Linked DNA regions of Rhinolophus ferrumequinum. The protein of the gene in region 1 purifies or fractionates together with the protein of each later gene. This does not show direct contact. Links are inferred from orthologs where the notes say so. Each region holds a gene or a part of one and is shown on either strand. Other genes may lie near its edges.

Region 1 (6,951 bases):
CCCGGGAGTTTGCAGTAGGGCAGAAACAGCATGGAGACACATGACAGAACAGGGCAAGGGCCTCAAGAAGTCCCCAGAGAAGTGCTATGGGAGTTTCGAAAAGGCAGAGATCGCTTTTGGCAGCTGAGAGCCGAGCAGGCTTTGTGGAAGAGGTGGCACTGCATTCATTCATGCATTATGTATCAAACGTTTTTGAAGGCTGGCAGTGTGCCAGGAAATTAGGTCAAAGGATACAAAAATGAATAAGATAAGATCTCTGCCTGCTCACGGCCTCATGGTTGTGTTAGCACAGATATAAATGATCCCAATAAAGTATGCTTGAAATACAAAGTGTAATAGGGATGCTTGGTGCCTGGGGTTGTCAGGGAAGGCTTCAGAGAGAATAGGAGTTTGGCAGACAGAGAAGGGAACCACTGAATCTGCAGAGGAACAGGTGGGAAAGGACACAGGACAGTGTTGGCAAAAGGGACAGTTCATGGTAGCAAGGAGAGTGGGACTTGACAGCTAGGATGGGTGAGTGGGAAAGGTGTTCTAAACAAAGGGAACAGCATGAGCAGGGCACAGAGGCAAGAAATCATGGTACCTGCACATGGCACTAAACTAAGTAATTCAGTCTAGCTACAGCATAAGTTGTGTGATGGTTAATTCTATATGTCAATTTGACTGGGCCATGGGGTGCCCAGATATTTGGTCAAACGTTATTCTGCGTGTGTCTGTGTGGGTGTTTTGGGGTGAGATTAACATTGGGATTGGTAGACTGAGTACTGCAGACTGCTCTCTCTAATGTGGTGGGCCTCGTCCAATCAGTTGAAGGCTTGGATAGAACAAACTCCTTTGTTTGGCTTTGGACTAAAACTGAAACATTGGTTTTTCCTGGGTCTTGAGGAATTAACAGGCAGGGCAGTATTAACAGGCAGGGCAGCCTGGGGGTCATTGGACTGCCACTGAGACATTGGCTCTTCTGGTTCTCAGGCCCTAGAATGTGGACTGGAACTACACCGTCACCTTTCCTGGGTCACTAACTTGCCAACTCACCCAGCAGATCTTGGGATTTATCAGCCTCTATAGTTGTGTGAGTCGTATATATATATATGGGTAGATAGATAGAAAGGTCAATAGATGTGGATAGATAAAGACACAGATCTTTTCTATTGGTTCTATTCCTCTGGAGAACCCTAATACAGAAGGGAAAAGGAAAGAACTTTGGAAAGGCAAGTTGGTGCTAGATCATGGAGAACACAAAATTCCTGGCTAAAGGACTTTGCATTTTATTTTGAGGATGAAGGAGAAAACACTGGGGGTTTGTTAGCCAGGAAGTGACTTAATAAGAGCTGAGATCTGGAAAGATGAAGGTTGTGCTATATAAAATGAGTTAAAAGATTCTCAAAGGAAACATCTAGAAAGTGGATAATTTTGTGGGATCTATGGTGCAGAAAAGGTTGGGAGTCCCCAGATGAATAAGGGTGCAGGGACCCAAAGTGGATATGGGCACCATAGAAGTTAGAGCAGGTGGCAACTGGAAGATGATTTCAGTGGTGCTGATGGGACTTCTTAGTAGCTGAAAATTTGGAAATGGGGATGGGAATAAGGACTGGAGGAGGTAGAGATTTGGGAACCATTTACATAGAGGGTGGTGGCAAGTACCACAAAGGAACAGACATGGGGGGCAGGGGTGGCAGAGTGATTCATCAAGAGTCTTGCAGTTGTGAGAGAAACCTACTCAACCTGGCTCAGGCAGTACAGGGAATTTATTGGCTAGTGTGACTGGAAATTGAAGCAAAACAGAATCCAAGGGCTCAAACGACGCCACTGGAACTTGGTTTCACTGTCTCCATCTCTCAGCTCAATTTTCCCCCTCTGTCTTCATCTCATTCTCAGGCAGTCTCTTTCTTTGCAGTGGGAAGATGGCTGCCAGCAGTGCCATGCTTACACGTTGCCCTCAGCAGATAGATTCATTCAACTGGACACTTCTGGCCAAAGTCCCCAAATTGACTCTTGTTGGGGTTTATGGGGTCCTATGCCCATTGTTGAAATGCTCTGGCAAGAGGGCTCTCTAAAATGCAGTGATTGGCCAAAGGGGCGGGAGTTAAGTCATTTCCTCTAGAACCACTTGGATTGAGAATGGGGGTGGGGCTGCTCCAGGAGAAATGGAAGTGCTGTGACCAGAAGAAGGAGGAATGGGCACTGGGCTGGTAACCACAGGGGAAGGGGTGCTGGCAACCCCCAAGCTGCCCTGCCTGTTAATACGAGGCAGCTGTAGCAAATGGGGCTGTGGAGGGGGTGGGGCACGGGTGTCTGGGAGGGCCAGCAGCAAGGGAAGGGGTAGACTGGGGTTAAGTAGTAATGCTACTGCCTTTTGGGGCTGTGAGGAGGTGGTGGTGGACCCCTCTGCCAAAAACCTGGCAACATAATAGACCAAGTGCTAATAGACCAAGTGACGACCAAGTGTCCTCAGAATAAAGGCAGGAAAAGCCAAGCTGTTGGGTGACACCCCATCAAGATATTGCTGCTGATGGAAAGGGCAGACATTGTCTGGGGACATTCATGGGATTGTGAGACGGGATGAAGGAAAGGTCACTGCCAACTGGCCTTGCAGTGGAGAAAACACAACCACTTTTCCCTGAAGTTTAAGAAACTAAGCTGATGCGTTTTTACAATAGTCAAAAAATTTATAATAGCCCCAAATAACCTAAATTCCAATAGAGGAGATTGGGTAAATATTGTAACGCCCATACATTAGCATACAGCCTTTACAAATAATGCTTTATTTGACATGGAAAGATGTTCACAATGTAGTTTTTAGAGAGAAAGGCAGATTACAATGTTTTTGCGCAATAGATGTGTGTGTGTATGCACACATATATATACGAGCGTAAATAAATATCTGAAGTGTACACCAAAATGTTAATAGTTGGTATTATTAGGTGTAGGACTACAACTGAAGCTTATTGTTTGGTTTGTCTATAATAAGCCTGCTGGGTAGTATGATAATGTAGTTGTCAACTAGAGCCAGCTTCCTGGGTCCAAGTCCCAGCTCTGCCACCTCCTGCCTTGGCAACTTTGGCTCGTTCCCAACACCTCTGAGCCTCAGTTCATATATCAATAAATGGGGGTTCTAGTTCTTCACTCATAAAATGGTTGTTGAGTATTAAATTAGCTACTATTACACCCAAAGTTGTTAGCACCATACCTAAACACTCAAAAATGTAGTTATTCTTCTTGGGTAATTAATAAGTCCCAAAGAAAATGTGACTATTAAATCAAATATATTGGAAACGTGTCTTTGTTGGCCAAATATGCTTGGTAGTCATCAATAAATGAACTATTAAGATAAGCTGTTTTCCTCTAACACTGGGAAACATACGAGAATATGACAGTGAAGGTTGCCATTTTCCCAAAGCTTGCACACTCACAGGGAAGACAGATGATAAACAGGTGCTGTGAGGATAGGATGATCAGGAATGGCTGAGAGCCAACGAAAGGGCTGGTGACAGGCAGGGGCAACAGTGAGTGCAAGGCCTTGCTGTGGGGAGGAAGTGTCTAAACCGAAAGAAGAATATACACCTGGAACGAGGGACACGGGTGTAGGCAGAGATGAGAACAGCTCTCATGCCGCGGCGGACCCACAGGCCTGGGGAGTCTGGACCATCCACCTGCAGTGGTCTCGGGCAAGTCACTCTCACCCTTTGAGTATCCTCCGTCTTCTATGCAAAATAGGGATAATAGTACTTTGCTTCACAAAGTTGCAAGGATCAAAAGCGCTCTGCAAACGACTGCTTACAGTATTATTACAAATACGTAACAACCATGAGAGAGAGACGTACGAAGATCAGCCACAGACAAGAAAGCGGCGCTGAGCGGCGCGTGCGCGTTAGACTGTCCGAGCCTGGGCGGGGGATGAATTCAAGCCCCGCCTCGGCCTCTGCTGGCCTCCCGGTTCCTCCCACTTCCGCGGGTACCCAACCGTGCGTCGCCTGCGTGCTGACGTCAGGCGCGTGCCCCTGTCCGGCAGTCGAGGAGACCCCGCGCAGTGCTGCCAACGCCCCGGCGAGAAGCTGAGGTGAGTGCGGGGCCCGAGGCTCCCCGCGGGAGCGGCGTCTCCGTGGTCCTGGCCCCGCCGCCCCCAGCCTCTCCCGTCCGCGGGGATAACCCGCCTCTGGGATCCCGGGAGGCCGAAGAGCGCGGGGCGCGGGGGGGTGGGGTGGGGTGGTGGCCAGCTCGCGCTGCTCCGTCCGGGGGAACGCGAGTCCGGGTTCCTTCGGGCAGTGGAGGGGAGAGGGTCGCGAAGGGGAAGGCGGGGGGCGCCCGCTCCCCAGAGAGGAGCGCGGCGGGGGCGCGGGGTGCTGGCCTGAGGGCGCGGGCGGGGCCGGGCTGTCACCGGGCTGCGGCGGAAGGAAGGGGTCACACCCATCTCGGCAGCCCGGGCTCCCCTCCCCCCGGCCGGCTCCGAGGGCGGACGGCAGGCCGGGGCGCCGTGGGCCTGGGCCTTGGAGCCGCTGGCGGGTGCACAGGCCGAACGAAGTGTCGGTGGCCTGGGCTGCCGGCCTGGGTCTGCCCCCTGCGCTCCGGCTTCGACTTCCTGCTTCGCCCGGCGCGGCCGCGGACATTTTGCGGCGGGCGGGGGGAGGGGAGCGGAATTGCTGGCGCGGCGGGGAAGTGGTGGCCGGGGAGGGGGCGGCTCGTCGGCCGCCCCGGCTTTGGCTGCGACGCGCTCTCCTCTGCGGCCTCGCCGCCCGACGCTTCGAACGGGCTCGGCGGGCCTGGTCGTGGTTTCTCCAGTCGCCTTTATTTTTGCCTTAGGCTGAGTTTCTCATGCCATTTCCGTTTGCTTCTCCAACTCAATCTTCCTGCCTATTCAACCGAAGCTTCCTTTTCAGGGAGTTACCTAACCACCTCCCGAAACTGTCGTTTGGCCACTTGCTTAATTCCTCTTACTAGGGGGATATTTTCTTTGTTCGTTTTGTTTTCCCCCCCTTTAAGTCCAAGAGAAATGCAGTGTGGAAGATTACGTCACCGCAATATAAGGAGTGAGAGTTTTAACTCCTGCAAGTCAGGGACTCATCAAATTAAGACAGCATTTTTCAGCCTTAGTTGAATATCCTGCCTGCTTCCTACATCATATTCAGAGGTGATCTTTTCAAATCCCGGCCGTCTCAAATGCACCTAAAAGCCAGGAAGGTTTAAAATCTCAAGATTAGTTTCTGCCAGGGAGTACAGCGCAAAACAACACCTTCTACAGCTACTTGTGTAGGCGATAACTTGAAAGATCCTTTTGTACTCGAATGAAATGAATTTATTTGTGGAAGCATCTCTTTGGTCCAAAATGACTTTTCCCGACTGTTTAACTTCTCCCATCTGACTTAGATGCAGACTACATATTTAAGTTGATTCACGTGCCCTTTTTGGGACAAGAGTGTGGTGAAAAGAGAATCAGTTCATTTTATGCCTAATCTTTGCTTGCTAGACACTTTTAGTTTTGTAATTAAAAACAAGGTTTGGATTTTCAACCGAAAAAAACTCGAGTGACATTTTTAAGCCATTTGGGATCCCAGTATTTGTTCCCCAAAATGTAAGGTACATCCTTCATTGACTACAGGGTATACAGTAGCACAGAAAAATGTTAGCATTGTAAAGCAAATGAGATCAGTTGTGTAATGCATTGTTATAAGTTCTTGTTGGAACAAGCACTTTCCTATTGTTTCTCATTTGTATAGAAAGAAGGGGTTGCTTGTTAAGAAACACTTAAAGAAGTGGTAGGGTTAGGTTTAAATCAGCTTTCTGTAGTCTAGGTGTTGTAGATTGGATAGGTGTGGAGCTTGGATCTTCAAATACATTTGCCATAATCTCTTTTTAAGAATATAAAAATGGAACACTTATCTGCTGCCTTATTTCTCGAGTCTTCCACATTTAAGAAGTTGAATTACACATACATCAATTTGTATCCTTCCTTTTAAAATATAGCAGAATAGTCTTGAGTTTACAGTGTTTAGACTGAAGCAAGGAGTTGAGATTGACAATTAATTGAATATTAAAAGTGAGCTCTTTTCCAGTAATTTCTTCATGACCTAAAAGGTATCGCATCCTCTTAAAATATTTTCACATAACAACCAACGACCGTACTCAGTTAAATTTAATTTTTTGGGAAATAAGACAGGTGTTACAGCCTAGGGTAGTCAGGACTTAAACATCAGTGAGATTTTTAAAGCCCACTAAGATCAAATCTTGACTTTTTTTGTAACATCAAGATTTGTTTTATTTGGATACTTTTTTCCACTTAAATTTTATGGTCTATTAGAAAAGCATTTCTAGTTATTTTTAAAATGGTTATAGTAATGTTTTGATCCAAGAGCTGTCACATTTGGAAAGTTTTGAAGTACAGTTTATTGTGATTGTCTGGGAGCAGTATTTATAGGCATTCTTGGAAATAAAAGTCAAATTGTACTTTTACTGGTAGGTACATTTTAAATGCATGTATTAGGCTGTTTTTTGAGTGGTTGAGGAACACTTAATGAGAAGCATTTCAGGCTACAGGGCCTCTTCAGGACAAGGAGGGTTAATATTTTAACTTACTTCCCATAAATAGATCTATAATCCTCCTATAATAAAGGGCTTAATTCTAGGCCTTCAATGTTCAATATTCTCTTCCAAATCTATTAGTTTCACCTACTAGAATGTAAGTTCTATGAGGGCAGGCTTTGACCTGGCATGGTCATTCCTGTATCTCTAGCACCTAGAATATGCCAAACACATACCATGTGTCCCCCAAAATAAGACCTAGCTGGACAATCAGCTCTAATGAGTCTTTTGGAGCAAAAATTAATATAAGACCCGGTATTATGTTATGTTGTATAAGACCCAGTTTTATAGTAAAATAAGACCGGGTCTTATACTAATTTTTGCTCCAAAAGACTCATTAGAGCTGATTGTCCGGCTAGGTCTTATTTTCGGGGA
Region 2 (7,650 bases), on another chromosome or scaffold:
TCTTACATATAGGAAATTCTAAGGAATTCCCTATTAAAACTAAAAACACTATTAAAACTAATAAATGAGTTCAGCAAGCTTGTAGGATACAAGGTATATGCAAAATTAATTGCATTTCTGTACACTAGCAATGAATAATTAAAAATGAAATTAGGATGGGAATGTAATTGATGTAGCCACTATGAAATACAGTATAGAGGTTCCTCAAAAAATTAAAAATAAAACTATCATATGCTCTAGCTATTCCACTTCTGGGTAATTACTCAAAGAAAACAAAAACACAACTCAAAAAGATATCTGCACCATGTTCTTTTAGCATTGTTTACAATTGCCAAGACATGGAAACAACCTAAGTGTCCATTAATGGTTGAATGGATAAAGAAAATATGATATGTATATATGTACATATGTATATATATATACATATATATATACACACACACATATATATATACATATATATGTATATATGTGTGTGTGTGTGTGTGTATATATATATATGTAAATACACACACAAAAGAATATTATTCAGCCATTAAAAAATATCCTGCAATTTGTGACAATGTGAATGGACCTAAGGACTTTAGGCTAAATGAAATAAGTCAGAGAAAGGCAAATACCCTATGATTGCCCTTACAGTGGAATCTAAAACACAAACACAAAACAGAACAAAACAAGCCAAACTCACAGATACAGAGAACAGATTGGTGGTTGCTAGAGGTGAAGGGTGGAGGGTGGAAGAAATTAGTAAAGGTGGTGAAAAGGTACAAACTTCCAGAGACAAGATTAGTCCTGGGGATGTAATGCACAGCATGATGATTAGAGCTCATACTGTATTACATATTTGAAAGTGGCTAAGAGAGTAAATCTTTAAAGTGTTCATCACAAGAAAAAAAATTTGTAACTGTGTAGTGATGGATGTTAACTGGACTTATTGTGGTGATAATTTTGCAAAATATGTCGAATCATGTTGTACACCTGAAACTAATATTATATGTCTTTTATATGTCAATTAAAAGAAGAAAGAAAGGAAGGAAGGAAGGAAGGAAGGAAGGAAGGAAGGAAGGAAGGAAGGAAGGAAGGAAGAAAGGAAGGAAAGAAATCCCCCAGGACATCCCCCTTAGGTTCTGTTTCAATTGATCTGGGATACCCTCCCACTACCACCAAAATAGCTTATAAAAAGCTCCTCAGTGATTCCTATGTGTAGTCAGAGCTAAAAGCCACCAGTGTCTGTATTGATAGGTGAAATAAAATTCTAAAACTTCATGAAATTAACACACTTTTAAGTAATTATTTCTCAAACATTTCAGGATTCCAGGCATTTAGAATGCTCATTTAGAATAATAGAATGAAAAAGTTAAAAAAATGAAATTAAGAAAACAATTCCATTTATAATAGCATCAAAAAGAATAAAATACTTAGGAATAATTTTAACAAAAGAAATGCAAATCACACTATGCAAACCACAAAGCATTGTTGAAAGAAATTAAAGATCTAAATAAATGGAAAAGACATTATGTGTTCATGGCTTGGAAGGCTATATATACGGTTGATATGACAATACTCCACACGCTGCTCTACAGGTTCAACACAACCCCTATCAAAATCCCAACTGACTAGTTTGAAGTAATTGACAAATCGATCCTAAAATTTATACGGAAATGTAAGAGACCCAGAATAGTCAAAACGATCTTAAAAAAGATAAAGTTGTAAAACTCAAATTTCTCTGTTTAAAATTTACTACAAAACTACAGTAATGAAAACTGTGATTTTTGTATTAGGGATAGCTATATAGATCAATGGAATAGAATCAAAGAGTTCAGAAATAAACGCTTACATTTTGGTCAATTGATTTTTGACAAGGGTGCAAGACAATTACATGGGGAAAGAATAGGCTTTTCAACAAATGGCACTGGGATAACTGGATATCCATATGCAAAGAAATGAATCTGGACCACTTATATTACACACAAAAATTAACTCAATATGGATCATAAACCTAAACATAAGAGTTTAAACTATAAAAGTCTTAGAAGAAAACTCATTGTAAAATCTTCATGACCTTCGGTTAGTCAAAGCCTTTTTAGACACGACACAGAAAGCATAAGCAGCAACAACAAAATAGATACATCTGACTTCATCAAAATTAAAAACTATCGTGCTGCAGATGATACACTCAAGAAAATGGAAAAACAATGCACAGAATAGATAATATTTGCAATCATCTAAAAAGGGACTTATTTCCACAATATATAGAGAACTCTTACAACTCAATAAAAAGACATAGGGCACCCAACTTAAAAATGGCCAAAGGATTTAAATAGACATTTCTCCAAAGGAAATATACAAATGGACAATAAAAAATGAAAAGATTCAACATCGTTAATCATTAAGGAAATGCAAATCAAAATCACAATGAGATACCACTTTCACAACCACTGGGGTGGTTATAACAAAGAACACAGTCCATAACAAGTGTTGGTGAGGATGTAAAGAAATTGGACCCCTCATACAAGGCTAGTACAAATGTAAAATGGTGCGGTCACTTTGGAAAACAGTTTGGCATTCCCTTAAGATATTAAACATAGAGCCACCGTATGACTCAGCAATTCTACTCTTACGTATATGCCCAAGAGAATTAAAAACATATTTCACACAAAAACTTATATATGAATGTTCATAGCATCGTTAATGTAGAATGTTTATACAATGAAATAGTATTTAGCCACATATGGGAATGCAGAACTGATATATGATACAACATGGATGAATCTCGAAAACATTAAGCTAAGCTAAAGAAGCCAGACACAAAAGTCCACACATTGTATGATTCCATTTATATGAAACGGCCAGAATAGAAAAATCCGTAGCGACAAGAAATACACTAGTGGTTACCAGAGGCTAAAGAGAGTGGGGAGTTACTGCTAATGAATGTATAGTTTCCTTTTGGGGGGATGGAAATGGTCTGATATTAGATAGTGGAGATGATTGCATAACTTTGTGAATACACTAAAAATTATTGAATTATATACTTTGAATGGACAACTTGTATGGTATGTGAATTATACCTCAATAATGCTGTTAAAAAATTATGGTCATGCTTTGCTTGATAATCACAACTAAAAGCTTTCATCATTCAGAAAAAGAAAACTTATTTATATGGTGGGATGAAGCAAACTATAAATATTTATAGATTCTTTTTGACGACAAAGTAAACAATAAGCCTTTTCTGAGAGAATGGTTACCTTCAAAGGATGCTATAAGGCCAATGATAAAGGATTTTTCAAACTGCTAAGGAATCAGTATCCAAAATAAAACGGTTTCATGCCTTACCTTTCTAAAGTCTCACTTCCCATATAGCAAAAATTTCCTTTTTTAGAGCATATAATGTTTAAAATTTCATAATGTCACAAGCATACCAACTTTTCCATTAGTCCAACTAAAATTTCACAATCTCATTTTAGAAATAGTTTATATTTCATAGCTAACTGATTCATATTTAATATGCTGATGGAGGTCCCCAAGTGCCAAAAATCCTGTTACCAAGGGAGAATTTCAGTGGGGACTTTTATTAAGAGCATATAATCCAAGTTTGTAGCAGTTGAAGAACATTATACCAGGTTAACTGTCACAAATATCTCTGATGAGTCAATCCCATAAGCCTATTTTATCATAGCAAAGACAGTTATTTCGTTAATTATTCCACCCTTTTAGCATGGGTTGGTACCAAGACTGACGCAGGGGCTGGATTCATGCTACGTCTAATTGCAGTGTGTGATGGAGCCAAGACCAGTGGAAAGGCAGGGACTACGCTACAAGGATAGATTTTTTATAATCCTTGGTTAGCCTGTGTTAACAGAAACAATGCTGATGGATGGATGGATGGATGGATGGCCGCAGGCATAAATATTCATCGTACACTTGTTCCATGCAATGGCAACATACAAGGGCGCAGATATGGGGGCCACGAAGGAAGAAAAATCAGTCTTCCATCGCATCTTCTGGTTGAGTTTCCACCTTTATTACATTTGTTACATTATTTAATTGTTTCCATAAAAGAGTCTATGCTAAACAGGTAACCAAATTTGTATTGCCAAAAAAGGCATTGTATAATTGAGATGATTTATGCAATTGGAAGGGAGAATTCATCAGAGAACAAAGTCTAGATCGTGACGAAGCCCAGTCATTTCCAGTGACCTCAGATGCCCAAGCTGGATTCAGGATTTCCACGCCAACAGTTCCTGGGGCGCAACCTGGAGACACTGTCAGAGAGAAGGCGGGGCGTTCCATACGTAAGGAACCTCAAGTCCCAGAATCCCCCGGGGACTCCAAATCCCAGAAACCCACACAGCAAATCTAGCCGAATCCCAAATCGGCTGGCCGCGGACGCGACCAAGTTAGGAAACTGGGGTGAGATGCCGCAGCACTTGTCCCCTACCATTTTCCCTATAGGGAGGGGGCTTTTTACAGAACTATAGTTACTCGAACCGTCGCATTCTCTCAGTCACAGATTCCACGAAAACCTCCCTCCCGGCGTATTTGATGTGAGCATCAGCGTCTCCCATTCTCTCTCCCCCTTTTTCCTTGCCCTCCGTAAGAATGGTTCAGCCGGGCATTGAGGCTCCTTGAGTTGGATAGGTGGTAGTGCCCGCCCTCCCGCGGAATGTGGGCCTTTGGAGCGAGCGAGGTGGGAGGGCCGGAGGCAGGGAGGCGTGCTGGGCCCGGGCGGCTGTAGAGGCGGTGGCGGCTGTGGGCAGTGGGAGGAGCCGCGCGGTTCCGGCTGCCCGGGCGAGGCGACCCTTGGGTCGGCGCCGCGGGCGAGGAGAACAGGTAGGGGAGCGGACTGCCGCGGCTCTGGGAGAGGCTCGAGCAGCGGAGCCCCCCGGCGCGCCCCAGGCACCCTCGGCCTCCGGCGTTGAGGCGGGGGAGTAAGGAGATGCCGACCCAGAGAGACAGCACTACCATGTCTCACCCGATCACAGGCGGCGGCAGCGGGGACCATTCTCACCAGGTCCGGGTGAAAGCTTACTACCGCGGGTGAGTGTCTGGGGGTACGGGTAGGAGGGGAGGGGGAGGGCCAGCTGGATTTGGCCTGGCGGAGGGGTGGGTGAGGGAGAGATGTTGTGGAGGGTTGATCTGAGAGGGCGACTCTGAGGACTCGGGATGGGTGACCGAGTGGTCGGGGGAGGAGCATGGGGCGCTGGATCGGGGCACCCCCAAGGTGTGGTGCAGGGCACCCGGGAATCGCGTGGCTGACTGTCCAGAGTAGAGTCCGCAGGAGGAGCCTTGAAATAGAGTAGGTCCACCTGGTGGGTTCGCGAGACTCGCCTACTAAGAAATTTACAAGGGTTTACGTCATTAGGTCTGGATGTATTTGGGGTTGTGAGAGTTGATTCCAAGTGATGCCTCAGTTAACTTAAGTTGCTATGGGCTTAAACGGCAGGACTGCTTCAGTTTGCTGCCCTTTTGATTTCCAGCAGGCCTAAAGCCTTGGGTTCTCCAAGTCAGGTTTATCTTCATCACCTGTAAGAATTCACGAAGTGTATCTGGACTGTGGTCAAGCTGCCAGTAAATTAGACATACGAGTTACTATTTAAGAGTGAAGTTGATGTGTTTTCAGGGATGTACCTTACGTACTTATGTTTCTCCAAGATTAGATGTGTACGTGTAAAGTAAAATTTTGTGAATACTTCTTTGTCATTGTGGCTTCAAGGATGGTCCCATAGGGTGAGATAATGCAAGGTGAGAAGAGGATGAGCCTAGGCAAAGCTTGAAAATCTGTGATCTTTACTCATGTTATTTATTGCCTAAGTTATAACTCTTGTGGTTACCAGAAATAATCCAGTCCTGAGATCATTATGTTCAGTCATATTCCATGATCAGTGAAGTGCCCCCCTTCCCTTGAATTCAGTTGTGGTTTGAAATTTCTTTGGGGTAATTATATTTAGGAGCATTAGAACAGTGAAATGCTATTGTGAGCCTAAAAGTTTGAAACTAAGGGTTAACAGAAAACCCAACAGCTTTGGCCTGTCTTAGTGCTTGTCGAAGCAGAAGTAAATTGCTTTAAAAAAAAACTCAAGCACTAGGAGGTTGAAACTGCAATGCATACTTTTACATTCCTGAGAGTATCAGTGAAGATAGCAAACTTTCAAAATGCCTCTGTTTTTGATTTCAAAGAAAATATAAGTCCCTAAATGTCGTATTGATTTGATGTAAGGACATACTGGTTTAGTGTGTTTGCTCCATGAAGCCTCTGACCTCTGTGTTAGCTTGACTGCATTCAGGAGTAGTTTACAGGAGATCTTTTGGACAGTATCAGTGATTTTGCTTAAATTGGTCAAGGAGGTCTTGATTTTAAAACAGTACCAAGAAGTGTGTGTAGGTTTTTAAAAAGTTTGTAGTTGTCACAGAGCTGTTTTGATTAAGGATGGTAAGCTATGAACTTTGCACTATGGGGAAAAAAGCTTTCCTCCCTTTAGCTTAACTTTTATTTGATAGATGAGATATTTCACTTTAGAATATGTTCCATTTTATAAAGTTGACAGTCCATGAGTTGTTAGGTACAGAGAATGAAATACAGTACATGTTCTTTTTTTTCTTTTTTTAAAGTGTCTGATTATTGACAATTTAAAAACTAGATTGAAAAATGAATATACGTGTACACAGATGGTAGGAAAGTGCAAATTGTACAGAGGTATAAAATAAAAAGTATTCCCCACCTCATCCTCCCAAACTCCAGAGGTAACTACTATTGACAGTTTATTTCTGGTTCTTCTGGAGGTTGCCTTTATTACTTTAAAAGTTATACTTCTGTTTTGTGATATATCAACTTTAGATAGTATCTGTTGATACTCTGAAAGATGAGAAATTGGGTGCACACAGCCTTTTGCTTTTTCTCCTCCTGGTGCCTCTCAATTTTTGATTGTTAAGCTATTATTTTTAGTTTTCCAGTTTACCTTCATGACTTTAAGTAATATAAATTCTTGACTTATTAAATTTAGATAGTTTCTAGTGATTCCAACTATGAAAGATGAAGAAACTAGTGCCTCTTTGTTTTGTTCCCATTTTTATTAATTTGACAATTGTAAATAGGCCTAATTAATAAATTAAAATCATTGTAAGTTTCTCCTTTGGAAAGAAATCAAAGCCTGGTATATTTCAGGAATGCATTATCATATTTTCTTGGCTCATTGCTCCAATTATTTAAAAAGGAATAAGGAGATAATAACCCTTTTAGTGCTTGACTAAAATTTCTCCAAGACATTAAAGTTAACATTTTCTTTGTTTTTTAAAACCTATGAATTTTTGCTAAGGAATGAAAGAACCCCTTGCTCTGTAGTGCCTTTAATTCAATGAAAGCTTTCTAATAGTGCCTTCATCTCGGGCCTCACTTAAAGACAGCATCAGCACTCTAAATTGTACCAATTTCTGTCCTCTGAAATTAGATCTGTTAAGATTATATGTTTATTAACAGTGGTCTAAACTGATGGGTACGATATGACACAGTCAGCTGCTCATTACTGCAGATGAAACTAAAATGAGTCACCAGTGAGGATAGTGAATAAACAGGTTGGCTAACTAGAACACCTACCTGATTTTAAAATAGAAAATCTTTCCTTTACATCAAGTAATGGAAGGACAGTCTGCGTT
Region 3 (7,847 bases), on another chromosome or scaffold:
CAATCTAGCTGTGGAGGACGCAGCCCAGCCCCAAGTCCAGTCGCCGTTTTCAATCTTAGCTGCAGGGGGCGCAGCCCACCATCCCATGCGGGAATCGAACCGGCAACCCTGTCATTAAGAGCTCGCGCTCTAACCACCTGAGCCATTTGGCCACTTCTCCCTGAAGCTTCTTCTTAACAGACTGGCCTTGGCAACTGCTCGAAGACCGGACGCATCTCCCAAATCTCCCTCCCTCCTCCCAGGACAGCCTGGCTCCGCTCTTCTGCCCCCTCCAGCAAAGCTGCCCTAGTCAGCACCCTGTGGGAGGGGGCTCTCCACCCATGGACAGGGGACCCTTCTGTCTCAGACGCATCCCTCCCCGTCCTCCCCAGCCGTCTTCCTGACCCCCTCCTCGTTCCCAAATCTACGTCACGGACCCTCCCTCAGTGCCTCCCAGCAGGGATGTCCACATCGCTCCTTGGCTGGGAACTTCACCCCTTATTTCATCCCTAATTAGACTGAGTTCTCCAAGAACAGGGCTTGTGTCCTCAGGTACTGTCCCAGAGCCTCGGTGAGCAGAACCGACTAGGACTCGTCATTCAACAGCCGTTCGTTGACCCAGTACCTCCACATGACAGGTGGACCCCTGCTCTCGACAAATACTGAGGTAATTATTAGAATAGGACAGCATGTAGGTAAAAACTCCAACCTCATGTGCTGTGATTACAGCCCATGAACAGTCTATACCAACAGCAGGGAAAGCAAAGGATTCTACCGATGAAATGAACCTTAAAGAATCTTAAAGAACGAGCAGGTGGGAAAGGAAGAAAGGCAGTTCAGAGAGCAGCGCGTGAAAAAGGCCAGTCACTTGGGATTAAACGGAAGGACAAAGAATTTTCAAAGATCACAAAGGTGGTGTCTTACTCTCCTTTTTGGTATTGGTCACTGCAGGAGGAAAACAATCTCCAGGCTAAATAAATAATCTCCAGGCTAAATGCAGACAATATTCTGACCCCCAAACTCAAGAACAGCGAACCCCTGAAATGAGAGGGCATTCACATTCTGCCTCGGCCACAGCCACCCCTTCTCCTTCTTTCTCCTGTCCCCCATCTCTCTAGACAAACACAGAATCAGGATGAGAGAAGCCTACACACACACACACACACACATACACACGCACACACCCCAAGAAAATAAACTCGGAGGGCTTGAAAAGAGACAGACCGTGGCCAATCTGTCTTTGCCTCAGCACTTAATGTCATTCCCACTCTTTATCTTATTTCTTTTTATTACATATCCTTCAATCTTTTGGGGGAGGGGCAGGGCTTGTTTGAATTGGCAGTTCACACACACACACACACACACACACACACACACGCCCTCTGTGTGCAGGTTTGAAAGTACTGGCCAACTGCAGGAAATCCAGCAGTTCCTCCGAGGGGGTGTTCAAGGAACAAGTGCTGGTTGCTGGTTGCTAAGCATGGAAAATAAACCAGTAAGTGAATGACATCACCTCCGAGTTATGAATTCAGGACTATGAGAGACGGGCGGGGCTTTGTACAGACACACACAGTCTAAAAAAAAAAAAAATCAGTCTTCCCGCTCTTCTCAGGTCTGGAACTAGCTTGCCTTCACCGCGTTGCTGAACATGGACTTTGTTTTCTGAAAGCTAATGGAGAGGAAGGGAAAAGGGTGGGAGAGGAGATTTGGCCTTTCTTTCCGAAGGTCGGATGGGAACCTTTCTGCGGCCCCATCCTTCGGACTCATCGCTCTTTCTAGAGCAGTGATTTGGAAAGTGTGGCCCAGGAACGACCTGCATCACAATGACCTGAGGTGAGGAAGAAGCACAGCAGAGCTGGAATACATGCTGATGATGGGCCCCCACCCAGGGGGGGACCTGCCGCTCTGGGTGAGGGCTCATGAATTTGCATTTTAAACACGCTCCCCTGGTAATTCCCACACCCTGACGTTCAACAGACACTGTCTCAAAGAGGCATCGAAAAGTCAAGGAGCCCCCTGTGGGGGTCAAAAAAATAACTTTCCCCTCACCTTTCTAAGTTCTTCTGGCTGGGCTAATCATCAAATTAACAGGAGACAGATTAACACAAGAAAAGGTCCAAAGTTGATCACGGATGTAGGTGGGGGGGTGCCATAAGAATATGAGACCCCAAAAGGCATTGGGCAGTTGAGGCTAATATGCTATTCTGGACAAAGGAGAGGGAGGCAGAGGTCTGGGATTCCAAAGGGAAAGCAGGTAAGTCTCAGGTAGATGAGGAAGAGCAAACACGTGGTGCAGAGTTCTTGCCGGGCCACGCAGAAAGTGGAACACGCAGGGGGGCTCAACAAACAGCCCTTGCGGGACTTCTCCGTCTGCCTCGTTTAGTTCACAGTATCATGCCGAGGGGACGCTCCCTTCCTGGAAGCAGGTTTTCTACCCGATTTCCTTCAGGCAGGTAAGGGGAGGGTCAAAGGTTCTTTCTGAGTCTCTTGTTCCCTAATAACCAGCTTAAAATCAATATCCCAAAAGGCATATTTTGGGGAGGCACAACTTTGGCTCCCCTCAACCTCCAGGTCGGTCTCTTCCGGCGTCCTGTCCCCTGGCAGCGCTTAGCAAGCACGGCAGCCATCAGCAACCGCCGAATTTTAAGGGGCCACCCAGACCACCTACCTTCTCCCAGCCCCCGAACCCCAGAACTTGGGAATAAGAGAGAAAACGCTCTGTCGGCACAGAAGTCGGGGAGGTTTGGCTGCTCACAGCGTTACTCCGGCCGCGGGAGTCCGGACTCAGCGCTCGCTCCCGCGCAGAACAGTGTCCCGCCGGCCCTTGCCTGGAGGCCCCGCGCCCGCCCCCCGCCCCCCGCCCCAACCTCTCCCAAGACCACGACCGCCGCGCCCCCGACTGCTGGCACCACCGCTGGACCCTCCTCCGCCCCTTCTGACACTCACAGACAGCCCGGCCAGGGCCCGCTCCTCTCCCCTCCATGTTGCTCCTTCTCCAAGTTTGAATCTCCCGCCGCCGGCCACCGCCCCTCACCGTCGCCAAGGTCGGACAGGACACTTCCGGTCTGCGCGCAGGGGGCCCTGGGATTTGTAGTTCCAGGCTGCAAAGGCGCACCGCCAGGTGGAGAGCACGAGAGCACCGCCCTCCTCGCGGCACCTTGGCTTGCTGTCCCTCCTGGGCTCCTTCGTTGCTAAACCGTCTTATTTCAAGCAGCCCCGGCCCCTGCCCCTGCCGTTGCCCCTGTCATTTCCCCCCTAGTATTCCCATTAAGTCCGCCCCGCTTCCTACAGTATTTCTTGGTCCCGCTAACTTGAGGGCCTGCTGGGGGCGGTGCCCTACCTAAACTAGGTGGTGCGGTGCACAGATGAATAAGCACAGTGAGTGCCCTAAAGAAGCTTGCTGTTCTGGAATGAGTGATAAACATACGGTCAAATAAGTCAGAGATCAGTGATACACAGAGGGCGGAGGCCATCGCTGAGCCCCGCTATTGCCTTACTGTTTCGGGCAAAGCCCTGCCAACTTAAAGAGGCCTTTCCCCAGGTGAGTGAAGGCATCTGCTTTGATGCAAGGCCAGCTTGGTGAGTTGGGGCCTGCCGCCCGCTCATGAAGCACCGCTTGGGGGCTGCAGAGCAGTGGAGCTGGGGAAATGGGGCAGGGAGGCTCTTCTGATCCCCAGGCCTCTTCTGACCATCAGCCTTTCACCTTGTTCCCAACTGTGAGACCACCACACAAAAGCACAGTGTGCAAGCGTGTGAGTGTGTGTGGCTGCTCACGTGTGTATGCGTGTAAGGGCTCACTTCCCCGCCAGCGCAAGCCTCGTCAAAGTTTGCAGTCACAGTGAGTGAAGAGTACTGCTAAGCTAGTCAGCTCAGAATCAGAAAACCTGGGGTCTAATCCCAGCTGCCTGGCTGCTCTGTGACCTCAGGCAAGTCACACCTGCTCTCTGAGCCTGGGTCCCCCACTCATCCTCCCCCGCCACTCTGTGAAATAGGGGTACTGCATAGATGAGCTTTGAGGTTCTAACTAGCAACAAGCCCCTGAAGAGGTACTTGAGGGGTGTGTCTGAAGGAGTGGGGAGTGATGGGACGGGAAGGGCGGTGGAATCCAGGTATCTATGTCTAAGATAGGGCACCTGATCTGTCAATCAAAGAATTCACTAGGAGAGGGGGGCGGTACCTGGTTGTCTGGTAACCCTCCAGCTCTGAGCTGAGAGCTGGGGGAGGTAACCCAAGCCAGAGGGACCATTCCAGAAAGCCCTCTGTGGAGAAGATCGAAGGAAGGAAGGAAGGAGGTAAGGCATCTTATGGCTGCAGCCCCAAGACTGAGTGAGGGCCTTTCAAGAAGCAGGAGTCCTGGGTGTTCTTAGGAGCCGTGGGAATTTCTTTAAAAGGAGAATGTATCACCTCAGCCTGCTCCTCCTAAAAAGAGGAGGGAGGGAGAGAAGAAAATGGGTGGGGCTGAGGACTCAGTGCCTGGGTCTTCTCCACCCCTTTTTCTGTCTCTTGGGAGGAGAGTTCATGAAAAGGCTTAAACCCAAGAAGTGTACTTGGGTTTAAGAGTCGCCTGGAGACCAGAGCAGGGTGTTGCGGGACTAAAAGTAGCCAGCAGACAAAAAGCCAAAGGGATAGGGGAGGAAGAGTTCCCCCCTGAGGACCAGAGCGGGCAGTAAATAGACATGTGCTCACTTCTGGACCTTGGCTCCTTGCCAACTCGATAGCCTTTTCCGCTTTGTGCCCCCAGGGCTTTGTGTGGCTCTAACACATGGCAGGAGCTCACTGAGTATTTGTTGAAGTGACCCCCAACTATGTCTTGGGGTTAGACAGCAGGAGCACCTAGCTTACGAGTGCATGGGTATGTGCGGAGGCACAGGACGGAGAAGATGATGGAGGAGAAGGCCTGGGTCTGCTCTGTTCTTCCGTCCATTCATTTATGCATTCAGCAAACAGCGGTGTTGCGGTAAAACAGAGGGAACATAAAATATGGCATTTTAAGCCATGTTAGGTGGCATTGAGCGTACTCGCGGTGTTGTGCTACCGTACGACGACCACCCGTCCCCAGAACCCTTCCGTCTCGTTTGATGAACATTTATTGAGAATCTACTATGTGCCAGGCCCTTCGAGTTGCTCCAGATCTGAATGGGAGAGAGACAGGACGTTACCAACTCTGATCCAGTGTGACAGGTGCCGTAAAAGACAGAGGGTGGGGTGGGCGTACAGAAGGACCCGGCTGGGGTGCGGGGGAGAGCTATGACTTGAGCTGAGTCTGGAAGGAGGACTAAGAATTAGTCGGGACAGTAGAGTGCGTTGGCATGGTGCCCAGTGGGACCGATGGAGTAGGTGCCACGGAGACATTCCTGAAGCCCTGGGGTCCCAGCAGGGCAGGGACACGGGGATCCTGCTTTGGAGGAAGCCAAGGGTGACGTGCTGGGCCCTGTGCTGTCTGCTGTCATTGGCAGCACCATGTCGTCCCCCAACCCTGACGGTGCCCCACCAGAGCCTGAGCCTGAACTCTCAAGTTCCAAGAAGAAAGAGAAGAGAAGGAAGTGGCCACAGCACGAGGCCAGCATCCAAGCCCTCACCAGGGCCGGCCACGGGGCCCTACTGGCCGGCCGGAACCATGAGGCTTTGACCAGCTTCCAGAGGGCCTTCTTCCTGGCCTCCAAGGCCCCACGGAAAAGGGACACCCCTGTTCTCCGGGCCTGTGCCTTCAACCTGGGGGCTGCCTACGTGGAGACTGGGGACCCAGCCAGAGGCCTTGAGCTGCTCCTGCGAGCCCAGCCTGAGGAGAAGGCACAGGGCAGGAGTCATGGTGACCAGTGTTTCAACGTGGCTTTGGCATACCATGCCCTGGGGGACCTGCCTCAAGCTTTGGCCTGGTACCACAGGGCCCTGGGCCACTACCAGCCACTCAGTGACCAGGGGCAAGCCCAGGCCAAAATGGGAACCTGCTACCAGGCTCTGGGACGGCCTGAGCTAGCAGCCCACTACCTGCAGGAGGCGAGCCGGGCCTATGCCCAAGCAGGGCAGCCCCGGGCTGCAGCCCTGGCCCTGGGGGCTGCAGCGGGGTGCCTGCTGAAGAGCGGGCAGCACGGTGTGGGAGAAGTAGTGCGGGTGCTGGAGGAGAGCCGGAGGCTCGCTGAGAAGAGCGCTGAGCGGGGACTGCTGGGTGAGGCGTTCGGGGAGTGAGGCATGGGACCTGGGGACACTCAGACCTGGGGTGCTCTGGGAGGTGGGGTGGAAGCAGAGGCAATTCCGAGGGCTGGGGATGGGGCCGGGGGGCCCTGGGAGAGTGGGACAGGGGCTACACCAGTACAGCCTCAGCTGCCTCTGACCTGGCCACCGGTGACCCTGGCCTCGCCCTCTAGGGCAACTCTATAACGACCTAGGCCTGAGCTACTGCCAGCTCCAGCTGTTCCCACTAGCAGCAGAGGCCTTCCTGCAGGCCCTGCCCCTGTGCCCCGGGCCCGGAGAGGAGGCCACAGTGCTGAGAAACCTAGGGATGGCCCACAACGCCCTGGGCAGCTATTGGGAGGCCCGGGAATTCCACCAGAAGGCTGCCGACCTGCATGGTGAGCGCCGGGGCTGGAGGATGGGATTGGGGTCAAGGGACTAAGGGGGGGTGCCGGGAGGGGCCCCAAGGCTGAAGTGTGGGTGGACCTTTAGGACCAGCCGTGGGGCCGGGAAGCCCAGAACCAGCGCTGAGGGCTGGGGATGCAGGAGTGGGACAGCCAGGCAGGACAGAGGGCTGTGGGCCCAGCGGAGAAGCCTGGGGCTGGGAGATGGAACAGCCTGGCCTGCCGCCCGGCTCAGACTAGCCAGGGAGGCACTCAGGCCAAAACTCAGACTGGGGAGAGGCTGGGTGTGGACCTCTCAGGCCTCTCTGTGCATCTGGAGGTGTGCACCCACCCTCCCACCCCGCCCTTTGGTTGCTGGGGGCAGGGTGCGGATGCCCCAGCAGCCAGGCCCTCTGGGGATGGTGGGGGCTGTGTCACCAGGCTCTGTGGGGCAGCGGTGGGAACAGGGTCGGAGCTTCGGCAGCCTGGCGTTTGCACTGAGCCAGCTAGGGGACCACAAGGCCGCCAGGGACAACTACCTGCACGCTTTGCAGGCTGCCCAGGATGCAGGTGAGGGCCAGGGGGTAGCAGGTGGCCGAGAGTCCTTGGGGCCACCCAAGGGGGGGGTGGGGGTGGGAGTACCTCTGGAGGGAGGGTCAGTGGGGTAAGGAGCCATGAAAGGACCTGTCAGGCTGTCTTCCCCAGGTGACGTGAAGGGGCAGTGGCAGGCCTGCGAGGGCCTGGGGGCAGCCGCAGCCAGACTGGGGCAGCATGAGCAGGCCCTGACGTACTATAAGGCAGCGCTGGCCCGGTGTCAGGTGAGACCCTCCCTCGGGGCCCAACTTCCTGCCAGCCCGCTGACACTCCTGCCTCGAGGCCGTGCCTTCTCCCCCATTCATTCACTCATCAAACATGCCCTGGGCACCTTGTGCGCTAGGTCCCAGGACACTGTTGTGGGGAAGAATCCATCTCTGTCCTGTTCTGGGCAGGACCCTGGCAGAGGCACGGGGATGAAGCAAAGGAGAAGGAGGACAAAGTCCCCTTCTCTCCTCCCTTTCCTGTTCCTTTCTTCCCCAATTCCTAGGTCTTTTCCATGGCCCCATTGCCCTCCCTCTCCCCAGAAGGAGCCAGATTCCGTGCGAGAGCGGCTGGTGGCCAAGCTGGCGGATGCCATGAGGACCCACCTGGCCCGAGGGGGGCTGGTCCCAACTCACACCCTGGTGAGAAGACACCCGAGACAGGGAGCTGGGGGTGGGGAGACTACTGGGGGCAGGGGGAGGTAAGCAGAGCTGCCGTTCTCAGGTCAGGGACACT
Region 4 (7,706 bases), on another chromosome or scaffold:
TGAATTCACCTTTTTCAATATTGATAAAATAAACAGACTCAAGAAACACCAGACAAAGACAAGATTCAAACAATATGATTAGAAAGCTTGACTTAATGGACACACTTGCAGAAAACACATTCATTTCAAGCACACAAAGAACATTTTCAAAAATCAAAAATGGGCTGGGCCAGGTGTCTAAAGTCCCAGCGAGGTGAGGCCACAATGTCTGCTAACCCAGGAGTGCGTGGGGTGCCACAGATTTCTGTGAAATCAGGAGCAAGAGACGCTGACGAGGAATCTGCTCCAACCCTTGAGATGAGATGTTATAGCAGCAAGATCTACTGGTTCTCAAAACCTGAAAATATGTAGATCACTCTGAAGAAAGGGAATTCGCTGTAGGAAGGAAACTCAGGATAGTTTTCCTACCAGAAAAACAAACAAAGTAAATGTGTATTTTTTTATGGCTAAAGTTAGGGACTCAAAATTATGGGGTGGGGGGACCATGATAAGTGACAGCAGGAACTGTTCCTACAGTATACAGAGAAAATGTAAAAGAAAAGCCCAAATATTGGCTACCAATGGCTCAGAAGTGCAGCCAGCCAGATAACCTGGAATGTGTTTTGCTGTTTCTGTGGAACTAAAACCACAGACAAGCAAATGACTGATAGGAAAACCCAGAATGGGACTAAGAAAGTCATGTGGACAGGAAAGAAAGGACAAGGATTATGTCAGTTCCCAACTCCTCTTCTCCCAACGAGACCCTATTCTTGAGTTTGCTGAATACCAGAACTTACAGTCATTATTTCTGGGGTTTGTTTGTTTGTTAATTTATTTTTGTTCTGCCCTGGGTTTACTGTTCTTTTGTCAGTCTCCAAGGTTGATATGGACGTCTGGGTACTGGGCATGCGGGTTGCGTTTATTCCCTGTAACCTTTGTTGGTAACTTCCATAATAATTGTCCAGATTCATAGTCACGAACAGCTTGTTCTTGTCAAGATTGTACGTTAATGTACTGATTGTTACACACTGCTGTCTTCATTGCTCAACAGTCCTGAGACTGGTACAAGTCAGGAGTGTTTGGTGTACTTACTGTAGACAACTGAGGCTTAAAACAGCACAGTAACTATCGTCATTCCCATTGTGCAGTGGTTCCTAAATTTTGCTACGTATGAGAATCACCTGGATTTTTTTTTTAAGTTCATTGGGGTGACAATTATTAGTAAAATTACATAGATTTCAGGTGTACAATTCTGTAATACATCATCTATATATCACATTGTGTGTTCACCACCCAGAGTCAGTTCCCCTTCCATCACCATATATCTGATCCCGTTTACCCTCATCTTCCATCCCCCACCCCCCTTACCAGATGAATTTTCTTATATATATTATTAGAGCCTTTACCTTTTTTTTCTTGACCCAACATTTTTTTTTTTTTTTGAAGGGGAACAGTGTGTACTTCCAGGCCTGTCCTCCAAGTCAAGTTGTTGTCCTTTCAATCTTAGTTGTGGAGGGTGCCATTCAGCTTCAAGTTGTTGTCCTTTCAGTCTTAGTTGTGTCGGGCGCAGCTCAGCTCCAGGTCCAGTTGCCGTTGCTAGTTGCAGGGGGCACAGCCCACCATCCCTTGCAGGAGTTGAACCGGCAACCTTGTGGTTGAGAGGATGCACTCCAACCAACTAAGCCATCCTGGAGGCAGCTCAGCTCAAGGTGCCGTGTTCAATCTTAGTTGCAGGGGGCGGAGCCCACCATCCCTTGAGGGAGTCGAGGAATCGAACTGGCAACCTTGTGGCTGAGAGCCCACTGGCCCATGTGGGAATCGAACCGGCAGCCTTCGGAGTCAGGAGCATGGAGCTCTAACCGCCTGAGCCACCGGGCCGGCCCCTGACCCAACTTTTGTTAAAAGTAACATTCCTTTAACATCAAAATTTGTGACATTTACATTTTAACCACAAACCTTTTATTTTCTATTGTCACAGTAAAATTCAATACTGCATACTTTGTCCTTTTGCCATAGTTTCTCTATTTATCTCTTAGTTGGTTGAAAGTGAATCTTCAAGTAGTTTGTTCAAGAAGAACTAATGGGTATGATATTCCCTGAATTCTTCCATATTCAGAATTGTACTTATATTGCTTTTATACCTGAAAAGCAACTTACCGGGCATGAAATTCTTGAGTCACACTTTCTATCCTTGAGGACTTTGAGTTCTTTGAGGACATTATTTTACTGACCTCTAATCAGGGCCATGGTGAAACCTGAAACACAGTTATTGTGAGTTAAACTTTTGCCTGGCAAACCAGTTTTCTTTCTTTATCTTTAATGCTCAATAACTTTTCTTGCTAGGATATGTTTCATGTTGGTTGGTTCATAGTGGAGTCAAGTCACCTCTTATCTGGAGAAAAAGTTTTCTTGATTTATGTCTTTAAATACTTAAGATGGTCCTTTGGGGCAGGGGAAGGGTTCGTATTTGAGGACACCAATTGTATACATGCTGGGTCTACCCTCTCATCTTCCTTAATGTGATTAAGAGTTACCTGTAGATAAACTAAAGCAAACAACATTCTAAGTGGGAAAATATTAGAAGCATTACTTTTATAAACTGGAATGAGACAGAGATTCCTCTGTTGTCTTTTTTATTAAATCTTACATTGGAGGTCCTAACCAGTATATACGAGGCATAAGGTTTGGCAAAGAAGGAAATAAAATGGTCAATATTTGCAGTTGATATTGTTTACATAGAAAACCCAAAGTAATCTACAAATTCACAAAATGTCCAATGTCAGACAAAAGTCAGTTGCATTCCTATATACGAGCACCAAACAACTAGAAAACGTAGTGAAAAAGAAACTATTTACAGTAATATTAGAGAATATTAAGTCTCTAAGAATAAATCTAACATAAGATATTCAAAACCTTTTTAGAAGAGAGTTTAAAACTTTGTTTAAAATGATCAATTATAACAAATAAGCCACACTAATACAAGACGTTAATAACAGGGGAAGCTGAGGGTTGGTAGATGAGGGGTATATGTACTTTCCACCCAATTTTTCCGTAAACCTAAAACTAAAAAAAAAGTCCATTAATTTTAAAAATGTTCTTTAAAAAAATACATATAGATGTAATAAAACTATATAAAAACAAAATGAAGATATAATACCGTGTTTCCCCGAAAATAAGACCTACCCCGAAAATAAGCCCTAGTTAAGATCGTCAGACGGACACATTTAGTACGTTATGACGATGTTCCAGAAGATGACGTGACTGTATTTGAATAAATGTAGATTGTTGTACATGAAAAAATAAGACATCCCTTGAAAAATACACCCTAATGAGTCTTTTGGAGCAAAAATTAATATAAGACCCAGTCTTATTTTGGGGGAAATATGGTATAAGACCTGGTCTTATTGTCGGGAAAACACGGTACTATAACTATAATGCATAACACTATGGCTACTTATCAGAATTCTTAACAAATAATTCTTATCTTAATATTTTGTATATCTGCCTCATTGATTTACAATTATCAGTTAGTGGAATATGAAAGTAGAACTGAAATTATTTCTTGGTGGGCAAAAGAATATGTTGGGAAGGTCTTGCTGGAGCAAGAAACTCTAATAAGCCCCTTTAGTCCTTTTCAATTTCCTAAACCAATAAATTTCTGTAGAGATCATTCTTTTTACTAAAGGTAATTATTATTATTTTTTTTAAAAAAAAGACCTTTTATCTTCTCTTCATTTAAGCAATTCCCATGAACTTATCAAATGGTCAAAACGTTAATGCCCCCCCCCCAAATAAGTTAATTTCTTTCTCTTTGAAGACATAACCTCTTCTAAGACATTCTCATCATTTTTCTCTTTGCACTTAACCTACTTTTTAGTAGAGTAGAATATGCAGTTCTATACTGTGAGAGAAGACAAAGTGAAAAATATTGTCCTGGAGAGAATACATGAATAGCAGAATAAGTCATGGAATGACAGTGCCCATTGAATCTCATGTGTGTGCGATTATTGTTCATGAGATAATCCTAGTTAATTTTTAAAGAGCTCTTCAGATTAATGAAAAATTAACCAGGAAGAAACCAACCTCCACAGTACTGATGACTTCTTAAAAGGAAACCGATGAGCACGAAATAATCATGTAGGTGCTATAATTCCATTTCGAGTTTTCACATACAGCCCTTTGTGAATGAATGCTACATGGAGCTTCTCAAGGAAGTCATTGAAACGAGAATATTTTGAAGTTCAAAGAGTATGTATGATACATTAATGATATGTCCATATATATAAACTTTATTCTTAAAGTAACATCAGTCATGCATTTTGTCTTTCTGCCTACTTATTACCATCTTCTACATAAAGTCAAACTCCCTAGCATGACCCCATCCTGTTCTGCAGGCCCAGCATCATTTCCTCTGTACACCCACAGGTACCTTCCTCCAACCCTGCATTCCTACTCTAGTTCCCTAAGGACATCACACTCTCATCTCTTCCTGATGTCATCCATGTTGTTCTTCGATGCCCGTAAATCGCATCCTTCCTTTCTTAGATAATTCCTCAAGTACCTGCTCTTTTAGGAATCCTTTCTGGATCCCCAGAGGCTGTCTCAAATGTCCTCCACTAGAATTATCTCTAAGATAACACTGAGCAAACTGCCCAACTTCCTCTTCACACCAGAGTACTGCTGGTGCCGGAAGCTGTGGTGGCAGCTTCTTGATTCAGCAGCTTCCTGAGTAGAGCTAGAGCCAGAGCAGGGGCTCTGCAGACACTGCATGTGGCTGCAGAGCAGAGGCCAGAGAATGAGACATTCATCCCGAGGCCAGGCTGGCCTGAGAATAAGGTAAGACTAAGAGTTCTGTTGTAAGTGAAGGATCAGAAACAAAGAAGAGACAAGTTATGGGTATGAGAGGCAGAGCCTGGGAAGACTTTAGAGGCAGAGGGATGTCAGAGGTGCAAAAAGCTGCTGGGATGCAGAGCAGTGCTGCTTTTACTCGTCTCACCATTCTCCATCCCCATCTCAAAAGCCTACAGACTCCCGTCAGTAAATCACCACTGCCTCCTATGGGGCCTGCCACACTGTAGGTAGACAGCAAGGATCTGTTGAGTTGAACTGAGACCTGTTAACTATCCTTTAAAGACTATTTTCTAAAACCTCACAAAAAATAATTTTCTAGGAAACCCTCCCTCATCTCCCCTAAAAAGGATTCTGTTCTTATAGATAACTCGTGGTAGCTTTTTTGTGTGTGTGGTATTTCTCAATCCCTTTCAGTGTTCCACCTTGTATTGTACATATTTGGATGTGTCCTATTTTTTTTCTATCTGAATGTATCCACCCTAAGGGCAAGATCACTGTCTGAACCGTCTTTGAATGTCCCCATATGAGTGTCACAGACTGTGTGGGAGTCTTCATGGGGCTGCTGTGTACTGCTCCTATTCTTCACCAGTTCTAATTTGCTTTAGTCCTCATTTTCACATAAGGGAGATTTCGACTTAGAAAGTGAAAACAAGCTTATGTAGAATCCAGAAATCTAGTCCAATGTTTTCAAAGGAAAAGCAAAGGAAATAAATATATAATCCTCTACTAAAGTTACTTTAAAAACTAATGTGTATTTTTTGTGTGTGCAAGATATCTTTTTGTTTTAACCTAGCTATCATGGTTCCTAGTATTACTTTACTTTGGCTTTGTACCTCTGATTTGTGGTATGTTGTGGAATTTGAAATCAGAACCCCATGTACCACTTATACCCTGATCTTCTAACTGAAGTGTGACTCATTGTAACTAAATGATGGTAAACAAAACAAAACAAGACAAAGCAAAAGAAAACCATCCGGGTTTGGTATGTGCCAGGGTGTAATGTGTGTGCATATGTGTTCTCATACGTCTATAATTATCTACTTATCATCTATTTATGTTTATTTTAGAATTAACAAAGAGTAATGGAGAATTTATTGAAATATTAATTTGGAGGTCTAGTGCTAAGCTGTCCAATACCATACATGCATGTTGCTACTACATGTTGCTACTGAGCTCTTGAAACACAGCTATATTGGATTGAAATATGCTATAAGTAGAAAAAAATACAACTAAATTTCGAAGGCTTAGTAAATATATCATTAATATACTTTTATATTGACTGCATGGTGAAATGACAATATTTTGATACTAGGTTAAAATATATTATTAAAATGAGTTTCATGTGTTTATTTTTACTTTTTTTCCATGGGGCTACTAGAAAAATTTAAACTACATATGTGGCCTGCATTATATTTCTGTAGGACAGTATTGGTCTGGTGTATGCTATAGTTATTTTTGCTTTAAAAACACTGCAAGGAAGTTGTGAAAAAATTCCACTCTAATAATGGAGACAAACTTTTCATAGACAAGTATTGACAGTCTACTGTGCTGCAGGCACTGAGACCTTATATAAACTATTTCATTTAATTTTCCCCAATCTTATTAGATAGGTATTATTCCTGTTTTAAGATAACTAGAGCGGGGCTCCAAGAGGTTAAAAAATTTTCCACAAACCCATGATCAGACAGCTAGCAACCTGCAAAGCATACTCATAGCCACCTGACCCCAGAGATCATTCCCTTTTTATTAGAATGCCTTTCCTTTTCAGAGGCTGGTACCATATGCTACCAGAGATTCTACCATCCACAATTGTGAGGTCTCACCAGCTTGTTACTTCAAAATAAGGTCATATTTCCTTTTTTACCCAAAAGAAAATAACATATATATCCCTCACAGGCCAAATATTAGGAATTCCCATCTTTTCCCTTCCCCATATAATCATAAATGACCAAAGGTTGTTTACTAATGCCTGAGAATTGATCTGTTTATCTTTGTGGGTTGATGATAGAGAGGAAACTAAGATACACTCGTGAGGCTGGAGGGCCACCTCATATCCTGTCTAGAGAAGGGTTCATTTAGTGACAGTGGTTGTGGTAGTTTTCTATTGCTGTGTAACACATGACCACTAGTGGCTTAAAACAACATCCATTAGTTAGCTCATATGATCTGTAGGTCAGAAGTCCAGTATGGTGTTACTGAATTCTCTGCTCACAGTATCACATGGCTAAAATCACAGTTCCTGCAAGTCTGAGGAACCTGAGACTGGGGGGAAAATCTGCTTCCAAGTGCATTCTTGTTGTTGACAGAATTCAGTTCTTTGTGGATATAGAACTTGGGTTCCTGATTCTCTGTTGGCTGTCAGCCAGGGGCCACTCTGCTTCTGGAGGCCAGCTGTTTTCCTTGTCATGTGTCCCATCCCCCATCTCCAAGCCAGCAATGGCACATCAAATCTTTCTCCTGCTTTGAATCTCTCTGACTTCTCCTTCTGCCACCAGCCATAGAAAACTCTCTGCTTTTAATAAGGGGCTCATATAATGAGATCAGGCCCACCCAGATAATCTTATGTTAAGGTCAACTGTGACATACAACAGAACGTAATCATGGGTATGGTATCTCATCCTGTTCATAGATTCCAGGGATTAGGGCTTGGGATACTGGGGGCAGTGGGTGGTGCATTTCAGTAGACTGCCCACTACAGTCCTGGGGATCATATGGGGCATGTACACCCCACAGAGGCAGTGGCAGGGGGCAAGGTATCAGAATCCTCCCAGCTACTTAGCTTGGCTCGTCCTGGGGATAAAAGCAAGAGCTGACTCACTGTCAGGCAGTAACATGTACTGGGCAAGGAGTGGAGGATGGGATGTGAAGAACCCTGG

What was found.
Region 2: the proteins of CDC42 (region 1) and PRKCI purify together in Homo sapiens (co-immunoprecipitation; 3 studies listed by BioGRID and IntAct, with this or other methods). This does not show direct contact. The link is inferred for Rhinolophus ferrumequinum from reciprocal best matches to the Homo sapiens genes CDC42 and PRKCI.
Region 3: the proteins of CDC42 (region 1) and IQGAP3 purify together in Homo sapiens (affinity purification with mass spectrometry; 4 studies listed by BioGRID and IntAct, with this or other methods). This does not show direct contact. The link is inferred for Rhinolophus ferrumequinum from reciprocal best matches to the Homo sapiens genes CDC42 and IQGAP3.
Region 4: the proteins of CDC42 (region 1) and CDC42SE2 purify together in Homo sapiens (affinity purification with mass spectrometry; 4 studies listed by BioGRID and IntAct, counting the BioPlex papers as one, with this or other methods). This does not show direct contact. The link is inferred for Rhinolophus ferrumequinum from reciprocal best matches to the Homo sapiens genes CDC42 and CDC42SE2.

What each region holds. Positions count from the first base shown.
Region 1 is NC_046292.1:14,899,134-14,906,084, forward strand, and holds the start of CDC42 (cell division control protein 42 homolog), read left to right. Parts: upstream 1-3,937; 5' UTR 3,938-4,060; intron 4,061-6,951. UniProt on the Homo sapiens protein: Plasma membrane-associated small GTPase which cycles between an active GTP-bound and an inactive GDP-bound state. In active state binds to a variety of effector proteins to regulate cellular responses. Involved in epithelial cell polarization processes.
Region 2 is NC_046285.1:72,048,422-72,056,071, reverse strand, and holds the start of PRKCI (protein kinase C iota type), read left to right. Parts: upstream 1-4,640; 5' UTR 4,641-4,936; coding exon 4,937-5,037; intron 5,038-7,650.
Region 3 is NC_046305.1:1,007,676-1,015,522, forward strand, and holds the start of IQGAP3 (ras GTPase-activating-like protein IQGAP3), read right to left. Parts: upstream 3,021-7,847; 5' UTR 2,963-3,020; coding exon 2,926-2,962; intron 1-2,925. Other genes in the region: TTC24 (tetratricopeptide repeat protein 24), read left to right, coding at 5,440-6,145, 6,345-6,548, 6,975-7,103, 7,239-7,351, 7,655-7,753.
Region 4 is NC_046307.1:7,843,460-7,851,165, forward strand, and holds the start of CDC42SE2 (CDC42 small effector protein 2), read left to right. Parts: upstream 1-4,698; 5' UTR 4,699-4,815; intron 4,816-7,706. UniProt on the Homo sapiens protein: Probably involved in the organization of the actin cytoskeleton by acting downstream of CDC42, inducing actin filament assembly. Alters CDC42-induced cell shape changes.